Oreochromis niloticus: one gene and its partner. The protein of the gene in region 2 interacts with the protein of the main gene of each other region in a biochemical or structural test. Links are inferred from orthologs where the notes say so. Each region holds a gene or a part of one and is shown on either strand. Other genes may lie near its edges. The genes, in order: bnip2 and arhgap1.

Region 1 (7,686 bases), on a different chromosome or scaffold from region 2:
TAATTTGTTTAAATAAAGCTCAAGGCAAAATTAAATGTGTTACCAGTTAAATGAGAAGTCATTTTTTGTATTCATAACTTCAACATAAATGAAACAAATACAAGATTATTATAAGATTATCGTTGCATCTACATTCATTTTTGCTGCGTTTTTTTCCTGTTTTAGTTATGTGAAAGGTTTAAGTCTGTTACTATTCTTTATTAGCTTTATAGCTCCCTCCAATTAATATTCACAATACTTCCAATAAAATGGCTGATCAAGCGTTAAAAAATACAGCCCTGAGAGGTGTAGAGCAAAGTGCACTAATATCTATAAGTAGAGAAAACTATCAATTTCACATCTTAACCAGTTCAGAAGTTAGACAAACCTTTGTATATGAACAGTTTGGCTAAACTGAAACAGCTTTTTCTGAACTTAAGATCTCCAAAGTAATCTAATGGTCCTGAATTAGTTTCGGGATGGCTGGGTTCCAACAGTTTCTGGCAAGATGTTGAAAACAAATATTTTTAGAGCACAATACGAGTGCTACAAAGATGCAGATGAACTCTGAGGTTAAATGATGACATTTTTGGAAGTTGACTCCTGGACAAGCAATTTTCAAGATTACTGCAAAAAAATTGTACTTATAGGTGTGTGTTTTTAATTATTTTTTAAAAATAGTTTAGAAATGTTTTAGAGCTCGAGTATCCACACCATGTCAAGTTGCTTATTTTTTGCTGCACAAAAGACTTTACTGACAAATATCTAATAAGAGAAGTGGAATGAAGACGCAGGAGTGATTGGCTCCCAGTAAACAATATGTATTGACAAAAAATGGTTAAGGATAGGTTGCTTGTCAATTCTGAAATCCATACCTTTGACACATCCTCCTGAAGAGGACCAGTGTTGTGCTAAAAAGTGACTGCCAATTTCTCTGTGTTCTTTTTTATGCATCTAATATCTTTACTTAAGTTGATGAACAGGCTGTCATGAGCAGAATTTTAAAAAAGGGGGTTATATATAAAATAAAGTAATGACCTGGTTGTATGATTCTGCAATATTGTACCTACTCTGTGTTCTATATTATAACCAACCCAGCCAGTCAGCCAATTAAAAAAGCTTTAAAGAAATGTTACATTTGTTGCAATTCCCCCTTCCCTCTTGAAAATTGAATTTTTAATGTCAACGAGACTTTCTACCAGAATAAATAAAAGGATATATAAAAGTCACTCTGCCAAAAACTGATTTCAGCTTCTACTTTATGATACTTTTCTGACTGAAAATGGCTTGTTATCATTCATGAGAGACATGTATGAGATACATTTCACAGACTGTAGGCCATGATACAACGCTCTTTGGCCTATCCCAACTGACACAGGTCGTTACACTGCGCTATAACCAACACAAAGGCAGACACACAAACACAGTCACATGTACACCTACGTCCACTTTAGAACCACCGACATAAGTATCGTTTGACTCTGGGAGTGACTAAACCATATCTGTGCTAATGTTTTCATAGTTTGCTTCTATGTAAGGAAAACACAAAAATGTCCAAATACACACCTTCCAGTGGCTCCAGCTGGTGAGCGTGGCTGGGGAACGCTCACCGGGGTAGAGCTTTTTCCTCGTTGTTTCTGCACATTGTCTGGAGTCTTCCTTTCCTGTGGCGTACCGCTTGTTTTGGTTAGACTGTCTTGAAACTCCTCTTCGCCCTTTTCTGGAGCAGAAGCTGTGGTATTTTGCAATTCGTCTGTTTCCTCGTCATCGCCTTCTCCCGATACACCGGATGATGACGGGCTGGACGTCTGTCTGTTTCCCAAATCCTCAAGAGTCCCCCTGGGTGTGACAGTATCTGGGCTGCTATTGTTCAAATTCATATCACTTACACCCTTCAGCACCGCTTCACTCTCAATCACATCCGATGCCATAAGTTTCTCCGGTTGTCCCGGTGGTACAGCAGATCAGAGTTAAAGAGTCCGACCGTGAAATGCTTTAATCACCGTTCAGCTCCTTGACCAAATCAACCAGAAAGAAAAATCTGACTTACACAACTTCTTTGGAAGTTTGTGGCTAACAGGATAGCTCTCGTCTGCTGTACAGCTAGCCCAGAGACGTGGCGCTAGCAGCTAGCTATGCCAACTAACAGCATATCTCATTAACCAAACAGTGTCAAATATCACGCTAAGTCTACAGATAGTCACCTTTTCTAAATGCGTCACGGTGTTAACTCAAGAGTCCTATAGAGTTCTAGCTTTGCAGGAGCATAGGTGCGCAGTTATCCCACTTATCAGTTTCCTTCCTTCCTTCCTCCAAGTCCAGAGGGCTCTCCGGTGGACGTAACACATTCAGTCAGGCTAGCTTTGGAGCTAGCAAAGTTTAGCCACGACAAAACAAGCTTTGTATTCCAATTAACGCCGTCTATGAGCTAAAAAAGAAATATTTCGGCAGTTATCAACTACAGCTCAACGTAAGGACAGTCTTTTCTTGGACCCATGTTAAATACAAAGACTACTTCCTTTTAATTTGCCGACACACGAGCCTCGGCTACTAAACGGCAGAAGTTAACTGTTTGCTAACAACGCCTAGCTCTATCATAGTGTATATGCATACAGTTTATGGTCAGCGGAGTTGCCAGTTGTGTTTCCTGCAGGTTCTTCGGCATAAACGACCCAGTTCGTGGTTACGTGTAAAATTTATGAATTTATTTTTTGTATGCAAGCACACAAAAGCACGCTAAATTTAATTAAAATGTCATTTTGGTGCACTGTAAGCTTTTCTTTTAACTGGCCCGCTGCGACCACGAGTTACATAATGATATTATATTTTCAAAACTGAAACTTCTTTTTGGGTGTCCCACATAAAATAAAGTTAGTAAAATGTAGATAAAAAGTATGTAATAATAATGATAAAAAACAAAACAACGTAATATACCTAGAGTTATTGGCTCAGACTGCTCTGGTCCGTGGAAAACGAGCAAATCTGGCACCCCTAATAGCAATGGTCCTTCCATGAGCCGCAGAAGCGTCTCTACCCTAGCAAGCTTCACTGCCCTCTGCTGATACTGGAAACATAGAAATGACACGGTATAGACTACACAGTCTGGTTCACACACGTCTCTAATCCAGCTCTGTTGTCCAAACTGTATTTCTTGCTTTCATCTCGCTACCCATTAGTGATTTGTGCAGCAGTGGGTTAAAGGTTAAAAACCGCAACGTGTTGATTTCGTGTAATGATTTATACTAGGAATCGCACTGTTCTCTCTTACAGTGGGAAGTAACTGCTAGTTAGTCAGTCAAGCCAAAGTATTTTTATTTTTTACTTTTTATTTTTATTCAATTTATTTAATAAGCATTAATGAGACTGTGTCTGAAAAGGCAACACTGTAAAAAGAGTTTGTGTTATGATAGATTTCATTACATTAGGGCAGTAACATTTATACCTAATCTAGCTAATAATCTCTTAGCTAATAAGGTTACACAAATAAGTAACTCTGAGCGCAATTCATTTTTAAAAAGATATGTAATCGGATTATAGTCACTTCGTCAGTGATTACTTGATTATCCTTTCAGTAAATATTTAAAATATGACTTTTTTCATCATTACCAATGAAATAATGAAGCTGTTGAAGTGCATACTTGTGACTTGTCTTGTATAGTAGGCCTCTGTTTTTGCAAGGCTAATTTGGTTTGACTAACTGTAAATGCTGAATATGCAAAGTTCTTCTGTTTGCATAGAAAAGAAAAGCATTATTGTGTAAGTCAAATTTTTTGAAGCTCTATCCATCTCTTTCAAAGAAATTCAAAGTTCATGGATTTAGTTATTAACTACATGAAATAATGTCACTTGAGGTCAGTAGCTGACTATATTGCAAAGTAAACTGAACCAGTCCTGTGTATAATGCAATGGCATTGGTATTTTAGAAGCCCTCTCTGTTTTATCAGCTTTCTACCTTCTACATATTTAATGACTTTAAAAAACAAAAATTGGGTGCACAAGTTTGAATTTGAATTTATTTTACTCTTTCTTGGCAAAGAGTTCATTTAAATTGGTTGGTTTCCTGGCACTGACCCAGTTTTCAAACGTAGTCCACAAATTTTCAATAGAGTTTTGGTCAGAGCCTTGGAAAGGTCATACCACTTGCTTTATCCATTCCAAAACCAGCTTTGATGCATGCTTTGGATCATTGTCCTGTTAGAACACCCAACTGTGTCCACGTTTCAACAATCAACAGTTGTTGATTTGAGATGAAGCTGAAGAATTTTGAGGTAGTCCTCCTGCATTATTTCTTTCACTTTGTGCAATGTACCAGTGCTACTGATAGCAAAACAATCCTAGAACATGACGATATCACTACCAAGTTTGACAGCTGGTTCAGTGTTATTAGGTTTGAAAGTTTCACTTTTATTGTGAAACTCAAACATAGCTCTTTACTGTGATCACATAGATCAATCTTTTTGGTCAGATAGTGTTTCTCCAGACTTTTCTCCAGAAGGCATTTGGCTTGTCCATGTGGGCAGCTGTAAATTTCAGTCAAGCTGAAAGGTGTTGATTTTGGAGCAGAGGCTCCCTTCTTGGTCAGCACCGTCACAGGCTGGAGTTTTGTTTGTTCTTGGGTTGTTCTTGAACATCCTAACATATTTCCTCTTATCTGAGGGTGACAGTTTGGGCACTTCTTCTAGATTTTGGCAAAGTGGTGACACATCCAAAGAACCTGCACTGCACTTGTTTAAACTGATGATCTTGGAGTCTGCAGTTGCTTAGAAAGGTCCCCAAGACCTTTGCAGCTTATGTAAATCTACAACTTTCCTTCTTCACTGAGCTCCTTAGACATTCCCATTTTAAAAGTGTTGTTCGGTCCAATTAGTGCTCTCAAAGAAACCCTTTTTATGCTGGTGATGAGAAATTAGCAGTTGTAGTCAACTGTGATCACTAATGAGAACCTTCAGCACCATTTATTTAAAAAATAAATTAAAAATACAATTAAAAATGAAGTTTATGTATATGTTAAGAGTCTGTATGTATACTTTTGGCTGTGTGGATTAGAGAAAATCCAAACTATATTCAAACTTGTGCACCCAGTACTTGTTTGTTAAAGTCATTAAAGATGCATACTGTACAATCAGTTCACCTGGGAAAAAGATCAGTTCAAAGAAATAATTTAAAGATGTTATTGTATTAACATAATTAAAAAATCGAAAACTATTACAAATAAAAAAAAATACAATCTTTTAATTATTCATGACATATAATAGAAACAATATGTGGTTTCTACCAGCAGAATTCCAGTCTTTACAGTAGTCATTGAATATTTATTGGCAGCTCTAGCCTCAGTAACCAACATTTACCACTAGGTGGAGGCAAATGCTTACTTAAATGTTGTAGTTTAGGGGGACGCCTTTATTGATTAAAATCTGCCATGAACTGTGCAACATCCAAATTAGGCAAAGTCTGAGATTTATTCAGAAGTAACTGCCAGCTGCAGCCACAATTACAAGGCCCTTTCCATAATATTTTCCAAATTAAAAAACAAATTAGGAAAGACATACGAATTGAGGAATAATTACATTAGTGAACAGCATGTACATATTTTTGAAAATAGTTAATTTCAGTAGAATATAATTTCAGTCACACCTAGGGGTGGTTTTATTTATAGGCATTGCTGGTCAGTTGGCACTTTTGGAGCATATTAGCTACATCGGAAATAATATATATATATTTTTTTAGATATATTATTTTTACAAGAAAAGAAAAAACAACTCTGAGTATAATATAATGATGCAGCCCGATTAATACCTCCTCTGTGTGCAGCGGATCATTCACTGTAATTTCTAATTAACACTTTGCTATTTACTCTGCTGGATCATTAGGCCTCATCACAAAAGGATAATCCAGTCAAATTGAGAGTTTATGCTTCCCTTTCACCTTCCAACATGGCACTACATGCTAATAAGGCAAGTTGAAATTATCTAACAAATTAAGACAAATGTTGGCTGTTTAGCCAAGGAAAATATACTGAGCCAAGGAATACCAATTTATCTTAAATATTTATAAATGATGTGATGACTTTTTATTTTTTTTATAATTTTCTTCTGGAAATATTTTAGGAAATCCAAATGCTGTGGATTTGTGTTGCACTCTCTTTTTTTTGGTATATCTTTTTCTTCAATATACAGTTAAGTACCAGGAAGCAGGCATTCAGAGTACAGTAGGTCCACCGGAGCCCAGCATTGGGTTAAAACAGTAAAATCTAAAAGAGCATTGTCTGATGGATAATATGTCAGGATTAGTCCTCCTTTTAAAAGTAATACACAAACTTGGGATCTGCAGCCGACCCCGCCTTTCATCCTGAAAGGATGGGATGAATGTTAGGATCAGAAATGCAGGCTGTATCCTATTTGTGAAGCAGAATCATTAGGAAGGTTCTCCGACCAATTTCCATAAGTGGGGTAGCGGGAAGTATTTAGGCTACTCGAAGTATATCACTAATGAGAAAAGACAAAAAGGATTCATGTGCATGTTTTATGCAATCTCTTTTTGGGTGTAGATGAATAATTATTTATGATTGCAAAGCCTAAAAGGGAGGCAAGAAGATAGCAACTGCAAAGAGACTGGTAAAAAATTTAAAGAGGAAGTTAAATGAATATTTAAGGGAAGATGAAATATTTAATGGAAACAAATGAGCAAAACATTTAAAACAGCATGATAAATAGTAGAGACTGCTATTAAAATGGCCCCCATAATTTGTGCTATTTGCTACAGTAGCCGCAAGGTCTCAGTCGCACTTGTAATGGTGTGAACCGAGGACTCTGACAATTGTTTTCACCGTGCCAGTCAGTGTACGAGGACTCTGTGTCTGTAACCCTGAGATGACCTCCTGTCTGAGAAATATTAGCCTTTGATTCATCGTAGTTTGTATTGATGCCACAAGGAAGAAACATTTTATGTTTTATTGACTGTCTTCGCGTTGAGGTTATGGTTTAAAAAAACACAATTGTCTGAATTTGGTTCCAGATAATTTCTCAAGAGATATTTTCTGAAAAGAAGTTTTCAGTCATTCTTTTAGTCTGACACTCACCTGCATACATCAAAAGAAAAAAAAAGAGATCCAAAGTATGTACCAGCACGCATTCATTTGTTTTCCAAATGTGAAAATAATTAAATCAGCAAACAAATAATTATTCAAGTCAATGAGAACAATTATCTCAAAGACGCCTCTGAGACTTGGATGTGCATACTGAACTGATTAATTATCTTGCTGAAGCTAATTGAGTGGAGCTAGATCTTTGACTGCTTTCCCTCAATATGCCTCCCTTTTGATCACGTGAGGAATATCGTGTGCACCATGCAAAATGTGGTCGAGAAATGCCCCAGTAAATGCCAAGGTGTAATGGCATAGTAATGGCAGTTTAAGAACTATGTTTAGTATTTTGCAGATCTCCTGCTCTACAGCTGCATGACATTATTCCTCTATGGTTCATAAGGAAAAAAGCTAAAAATGTCCGTGAATAGAAAAAAAAAGCATGCACACCTCTTATGAATTTTAAGTTTCACCACATATTCAAATTTTTTATTAAACTGCCTCTTAAATTTATTATAATCGCAGCAAGCGTTCTCACCTGCGCTCATCTGTCCAAGTTTAACTTTGTCAGGGTAGCTGTGTCATGCCCTTACTAACCTGTGGGCAGACTATTACTTACTTCTGAG
Region 2 (7,272 bases):
TCACACCTGAGCCTCAACTCTCGCGGCCCGGTACCAAACGACTCACGGACCGGTACCGGTCCGAGGCCCGGGGGTTGGGGACCGCTGCTCTAATGCATCTGTTGGAGTGTGAAGTCCCCAAAACACAGCAGCAAGTCCACCTCTGAATGGCTCAATAAATAAATGAAGGTTTGGGAGTGACCCAGTCAAAGTCCAGCCTGAAATCAGATTGAGATTGTTTGGCCTTAAACAGGCTGTTCATGCTGGAACAAGGGCCAGTTACTTTAGTTTAGAAGAGTTTAGGGACCAGGTAGATTAGGATAGATTTTCTTAATAAATGAAAACTGCACTTGGTATTTACTCAGGTTTTCTTTGTGTAATATTCAAATTTGTTTGATCTGAAGAACAGAAGTTTAAGAAAAAAAACACACATGTGTAAGAAATCAGCATTATAAGGGAGAATACCTGATTTATATACTCATACAAAGCGTATCCAAGTGTGTTACCTGAAGTGGGCCACTGTCCGCAGTGTTGGGAATTCCATACCAGGCTGGAATGAGTCAAGGTAGGTGAGCATCCACGAGAACCCACAGCAGATGCATCCTACTAATACTGACAGGACCAGGATACTCCAGAAACCTGATTACACACAGTGCAGGATCAGGATTTACAGTTTCTACAGCCTGGATCTCTTCCCTTGTTTTACACAATAAGAGAGAAACCACTGTTGTAGCAACTTGGCTTTTCTGGCCGCTTATTGTGATGTTGAAAGCCAGAACATCATCCTTGTCACACTGTGTTTGACTGCTTCCACTCTTCTCCGTACTGATAAAACATGATTAGTTTTTGTTTTGGTGTTACAATAAAAAACAGTATATACAAAAAACCCAGAACTCTTGGACAGCAGGTGACCCACAGTCTAAATAAACATGTCTATGGCAAAGTTGTTGAATATGTGGATCTCTTTTGTTACTTTAATAAAGATTAGTTTCTAGGATTTTGCAGAATAATAAGTAATGAAACCTAACTGTTGGCTGCAGCCCTCAGATATTTACACCAGTTACTTTGTACAGTACTTTTCAGAAATGTTGAAACATGGTATTAGAGCTTTCTCTCAGTATATGTGATGCACATGTAACCAAAGAAAGTGTAAACCGAGCATGATGGTGAACACAAGTACCTGGACGGAGCAGTAAATACAGAGCTTATACTTACCGAGCATCTTCTCTTCAGTGCCATCCTCTCCTGTCACCCTCTCTGCCCGCAGCTCTGAAACAATCAAAAGTCACTTATGCTGACCAACATTTGTTAAAAAGCTAGATCTTATCTGGTCCTGTGCCAGACAAGCATATGTACATATATATATATATTATATAAATATAAAAATTCCCCACTCGCCCCTGCAGGCGGTCTATCCTTCAAGCTCGGGTCCTCTACCAGAGGCCTGGGAGCTTGAGGGTCCTGTGCAGTATCTTAGCTCTTCCCAGGACTGCGCTCTTCTGGACAGAGATCTCTGATGTTGTTCCCGGGATCTGCTGGACCCACTCGCCTAGCTTGGGAGTCACTGCACCCAGTGCTCCGATTACCACGGGGACCACTGTTACCTTCAACCTCCACACAATCTCAAGCTCTTCTCTGAGCCCTTGGTACTTCTGCTTCTTCCTGATGTTGCTGTCATTCAAAACCCCTACATCTATCACTACGGCTGTCTTCTTCTGTTTGTCTACCACCACTATGTCCGGTTGGTTAGCCACCACCATTTTTGTCTGTCTGTATCTGGAAGTCCCACAGGATCTTAGCTCGGTCATTCTCCACCACCCTTGGGGGCGTCTCCCATTTTGACCTCAGGACTTCCAGGCCATACTCGGTACAGATGTTCCTGTACACTATGCCGGCCACTTGGTTATGGCGTTCCATGTATGCCCTGCCTGCTAGCATCTTGCTCCCTGCTGTTATGTGCTAGATTGTCTCAGGGGCATCTTTACACAGCCTGCACCTGGGGTCTTGCCTGGTGTGATAGACCCCAGCCTCTATGGATCTTGTACTCAGAGCTTGTTCCTGTGCTGCCATGATTAGTGCCTCTGTGCTGTCTTTCAGTCCAGCTTTGTCCAGCAACTGGTAGGATTCTGGATGTCAGCCACCTCCTCTGTCTGCTGGTCCTACCATGATGGTTCCTCCTCTTTCTTGGGTTTCTGCTGCATGAGGTATTCACTGAGCACACAGTTGGTTGTGGACATCTTCCTGATGTACTCATGGAAGTTTGTTTCATCCTGGAAAGTGGTACTGACACTCACCAGTCCCTGGCCTCCTCCTTTCTGCTTCACATACAGCCTGAAGTTGCTGAGGATCCTCAGGACTTGCCTGACGCACTGCAGGTACTTGGTGGTTGCAGCTTTCCTAGCGACCTCTTCATACATATATTTATATATATATATATATATATATATATATATATATATATATGATTTAATATATTACAATGATATAATACATATTTGACATGTCAGCAGTTTTCTAAGTAAATATATTTCTTAAGATGTTATAAGGTGTTACTGACATGAAATTCTCACCAGCTGTCGGCAACAACCCATCCAGTGCACACATGCAAAGAAATCATCCACAGATGTGCATTTATTCATTATTATGTGTAATAATGAAAAATTATTGAACAAATGTATTTAACACTTCGTACAAAAGCATTTGCTGGTGATGACTATATTATAAATATCCCTTTGGATTGACCGATCATCCTACAGTAAAAACAGTCTTTTCCTTTTCTGATCCCACTGATCTGATCCTGATTTGCGCGTGAGGTACAGGGCCGCGCGCTTACCTTTGAGTATGGGGTAGATAAGGGCGCAGAGAAACCCGACCGCGGCCACTGCTCCGGCCGAGCCCAGCACCGACAGCGCGACCACGGGCCATGGTTTGGGACCGTTCCGCCTCGCGCTCCTGGCAGGCTCCTGTCCCAACATGTAACGCTGCTCACTCAAATGAACAAATGAAAATGTCTGCAAACCAAACTTTTCCACAGCCGCGCTCAGCAGAACAAAGCTTTCTTCATACACAGCATGTGAATTCACAGACTCTACGTCACACCGATGACATGCTCACAGTGACGACCCGACTGCTTTTAACTTGTACCAGGAACTGCTGATTACATGTTTGAACTTTTCGCTTCCGCACACAAAATTGTCCCCGAGGGGGTTCCGTTGGTGTAGTTTAAACTGCCACAGTTAAATATGTGGAAACAAGCTTAGCTAGGCCACTTACAGTCTTTTAAATGGTTTTATGTCTGTTTCTTTTAAATTCAGTTGTGGTAAAGTATCAGGCAGAAAGAACAGTTTACCATGTTTCACTCTTCACAGGTGTTGCAAAGATTTTGTGCCTCAAAATCTGTGTGAGCCTCTCGCCCTAAGACAGCTGGGATAGGCTCCAGCCCCCGGCGAACCTGAGCTGGATAAGCGGAAGAGAATGGATGGAAATTTGTAACACTGATTGGCTGATAGTAATCTGCACTGATTGTATGTTGATACGTGTTGGCCTGTTTTATCTGCTGAATTGCTCCAACAATTAACATTTTCATATTTTTTATTCTAAACCGCTTTCTCTTTTATTTAATAGAGAGTTTCCTCAAACAAATGTCCTAAAGATTATAAAGCTCCTCATGCATCGTTAGCAGTATATTTTGAAGTAGCCGCACAGTTGTATCCGTGAGTCCACAGCAACACCATTAATCATTTTCATAATGATCTGAAAGGTACTCTATTATAACATGCATAACAGTAATGATCGGATTCTCTTGTTTCAAGTATGCTTTCAAAAATAAAAAAAAGAACTGTTGAATTAGTTGTTTTTAAATAAAGTACTTAATTAAAACAGTAATTGTTTTAAAATTAATTTAAAAAATCATAAAAAGGTGTACTTTGAGCTATCTCAGCTTTAACCCTCTTCTGTCTCCTCCCACAATTTTGTTTTCTCACGCGCTCTGAATAAATTATTTAATTGGCTGAGCGGCATCGCAGTTACAATTCACGCCATTGGTCTGTGTGTAAAATAGAATATTATCATTAGAATAATAGATATAGATAGACACAATAGAATCAGCTTGTCATACTTTAGACTCAGACCTATTACTAAAACACCACGGGGACGCTTTCTCTTTTTTTTAGCACTTTTATTTTGACAGGTATAGTAAACAAAAACTGAATTGATAGCTTTATTTTGAAAACAACAAACCGGAAGAGTTGCTGACGCAGGTTTGTTGACGACAACAGTCTACGTTGACTTCAGACGCCACAAAGTGAATCGGTTGTAACGGAGTAGCTGGACTATTACGGTAAAACAAATTTCATGATGCTGTTTGGTAGAAACTGAAGATGTTAGAAGCACGCGGGGCTCACGCGCTGTGATGCTCGTGCGTTGTTAGTCGGGTGTTGTGGGGCTAATTTGTTGTGATGAGGTCATTTGTTAACACTGCGGTGTTCTGGTTTAGCCCAACTAAGCGTCGTTTCAGTTACTGAAGCCTCACAGCGTATAAAAGGCTGTTTATAAAACGTGCATCCGTGTGCCGAATATGGTGAATTTAGCCGAGCCATCTTGCTAGGCGGTTTGCTGAGGCGTTTCGCTGTGTGATAATGACCAGCGAGTGTGGCTGCGTTAGCCTGTTTAGCTTTTCTGAATCAGCAGCTAATGACACTGAAAGGTTTCTCCTGCTGAACTGTTTGGTAAAAGTAAAAGAGGTCAGCTGCTCACCTGTTGCTTTTATCACTGGACTGCCAGCAGTGAAGGTGTCAGCTCAGCCCGCCCGCCAAACTCCGTTCTGGTTTAATGCTCTTCCCCCATTCGTAGCATTTTCCCAAAGATGACGTCTCACTTCAAAAATGTGTATATATCACACATTATCGTGTTATGGTAGTGCATCTGTGTTTTCATAGCTTGGAGTGATGTCCCTTCCACTTACACACTACAGTGTATTTTGTAGTTTATTGGTTATGATTGGTATTTACTGGAAAACTACATTAAAAAATAATGAGACAGCCTCTGGGTGTACTTTCATAGTGACGCAGAGGTTACAGAATCAGGCTGATGGTGTCTTTGAGCTACACCCTCTGCAGTAAACTGTCCTGGTGGCAGGCGGAGGTTCTGAATGGCAAACAGAATGCGAAACTATTCTGCTTAAAATAGAGGTGATTAAAAAAATGACACGTTCTGCTGTCTTGTGACAGGATAAGCCAACAGTCCTTTTATAGTTGTGCCTTTCTTTTCTCTGGTTGAGCTAATTATTTGGATTGGATCATCTCTGGGCTTTAGAAAGGATTTTAGAAATATTAAAAGTAACCTCAGCACTTTAACAACCCGGGACACCAGTCACAGTCAGACCTTGCCTGACTGCGTGCTTCATATCTGAAAAAGCATCGTGGTCATTTACCTTAAAACTCTGGAGTGCACCGCTCTTATGCTGGACCTGATAACACTGATTGGTCTGGTACTTGTGTGAATGTGTGGAGTCACATTAACAGACAGACACGGACAGTTTTACAACGTTCAGCCACCGAATGTTTTTAAGTATAGTTGCGACCTCAGTTATATTAATATTACTAGCTGCAAAGTTCAGTCTCATGCCTTTGTCACAGCAACTCTACGCCTGTGAAATTTACCAAACCTGAATGTAAAAGTGACCCTTGCCTGAAAGGCACAGTGTCATCATTTTGACTGATTCAAGAAGCCAGCAGTGTTAGGTGATCATGACTGAAAAGGCCTCTAAAGTATAAACATCTTAAAGTACATTTTATAAATAAATGTAACCCACCAAGAAGACTGGGGCTAAAGCTGTGATGAAATGAAAGCTGTAGCAGTGATTGCAAACATCAGTGAATTGCATGGATACCATGCAGGAAGATGAAATGAGCTGTTCCTTAAATATATGGCATGTCAGAAACAGTGGTTGCTTTTTTGTGGGCTTTTTGGTTGCCATTGTTCAGGTTCTTCTTCTTTTTGTGGCATCCCTCAGGTAGTTAAAAAAAGAACATAAAATGAAGTTCCCCAGCTAGAGGTGATTGGAGTTTAAGCTCAGTGTCAGTCTCTGGTCGGCATTAGAAACTGTGGGGTGTGTTGTGGTGCAGAAATGTTACTGCAGGTACGTGTGCGTGTGTGAGAGAAATGGAGAGTGTGACTGTTGCTGCTGCTGCATGTACATGCCAGTATTATGTTTTTTTTGCATATTTGATGGTGCATGCTGCTGTTAGGGATGAACCCTTAGGTAGTATTTAGACTACTGAAGCTGAAATGCCATAAAAGCATAAAATAAGTAGAGTAGTGTTTCACATGTAGAAATGCTCAGTAATAATACTGTGTTACTCCATGGCTTTTTCCTGCACTAGAGCTTTCTTAGGAATCATTTCCTGAGCCCCTGGAGCATGCTCTGACCAAACTGCTCTCCTCAGCTGCTCTGCAGTGCTGAGAGAAAAGAGGAATAGAGGGGGCTGGGTACTGTGCTTGCTGGATGCTTCTGTTAGATGCTCATATGTACACAAAGTGGCTTTATCTATCTATCCGTGTGTGTGTGTGCATATATATATATATGCACAGATGTGGGTAGTGCAACACGATCCACAAACAGTGCCTCATGCATACATGGTGTTGTGGCTGGATACACTGCATGGGTAAAGATACACAAGATTCAACATTGTCAACATTTGTAACAGAGTGGAGAGAGTCTCGCACTCAGAGAATCAAGGTTACAGAGTAACCGTACGTTCTATAGCTAATAGGTCTTGCTAATGACCTACTAATTCTTTCACAGGTGTGTTGCAGCAGCGGCACATTTAAAAGTTTCAGGACACCAGCCCTCAAGGACTTGAGTTTGACACCCCTGCCCTATCAGATCCTATCCTGAACTAACCTTGTCGACACTAAGGATGCAACTATCTGGTTTAAAAAAGAAGCAAACGCAAAGAAACCTACTTTAAACTGAGCAGTGAGGTGGAAATCGGCTTTCAAGGCTAACCCTTATACCCTGCTCACAAACCGTAGTCCTTGCAGTCCCTGTGAAACTCTGCATGTTTCACATACTGGTTCCTCTTCTCCTGACCTCTGACTATTTACACTTGGTGTCTCCTCCACCATCAGAGAGATGATCCTGAAACTTGAGGTTTCTCTGCTTTTTTTTTTTTTCTATCATAGAGCTCGGAAACTTTAGCATTACATATTTTCAGTGCTTCTCAACTTAAAAAAAAAAAAGCCAAATAGGCACAATAAATTAGGCAAATAGCAACAGATCATCCAGTGCAG

The links.
Region 1: the proteins of arhgap1 (region 2) and bnip2 form a complex in vitro, tested with the Homo sapiens proteins (2 studies listed by BioGRID). The link is inferred for Oreochromis niloticus from reciprocal best matches to the Homo sapiens genes ARHGAP1 and BNIP2.

What each region holds. Positions count from the first base shown.
Region 1 is NC_031972.2:52,314,130-52,321,815, forward strand, and holds the start of bnip2 (BCL2/adenovirus E1B 19 kDa protein-interacting protein 2), read right to left. Parts: upstream 3,010-7,686; 5' UTR 2,914-3,009; intron 2,734-2,913; exon of another isoform or gene 1,993-2,733; 5' UTR 1,911-1,992; coding exon 1,546-1,910; intron 1-1,545.
Region 2 is NC_031986.2:1,875,988-1,883,259, reverse strand, and holds the start of arhgap1 (rho GTPase-activating protein 1), read left to right. Parts: upstream 1-4,174; 5' UTR 4,175-4,318; intron 4,319-4,734; exon of another isoform or gene 4,735-4,749; intron 4,750-7,272. Other genes in the region: arl6ip6 (ADP-ribosylation factor-like protein 6-interacting protein 6), read right to left, coding at 486-618, 1,195-1,248, 2,813-2,954. UniProt on the Homo sapiens protein: GTPase activator for the Rho, Rac and Cdc42 proteins, converting them to the putatively inactive GDP-bound state. Cdc42 seems to be the preferred substrate.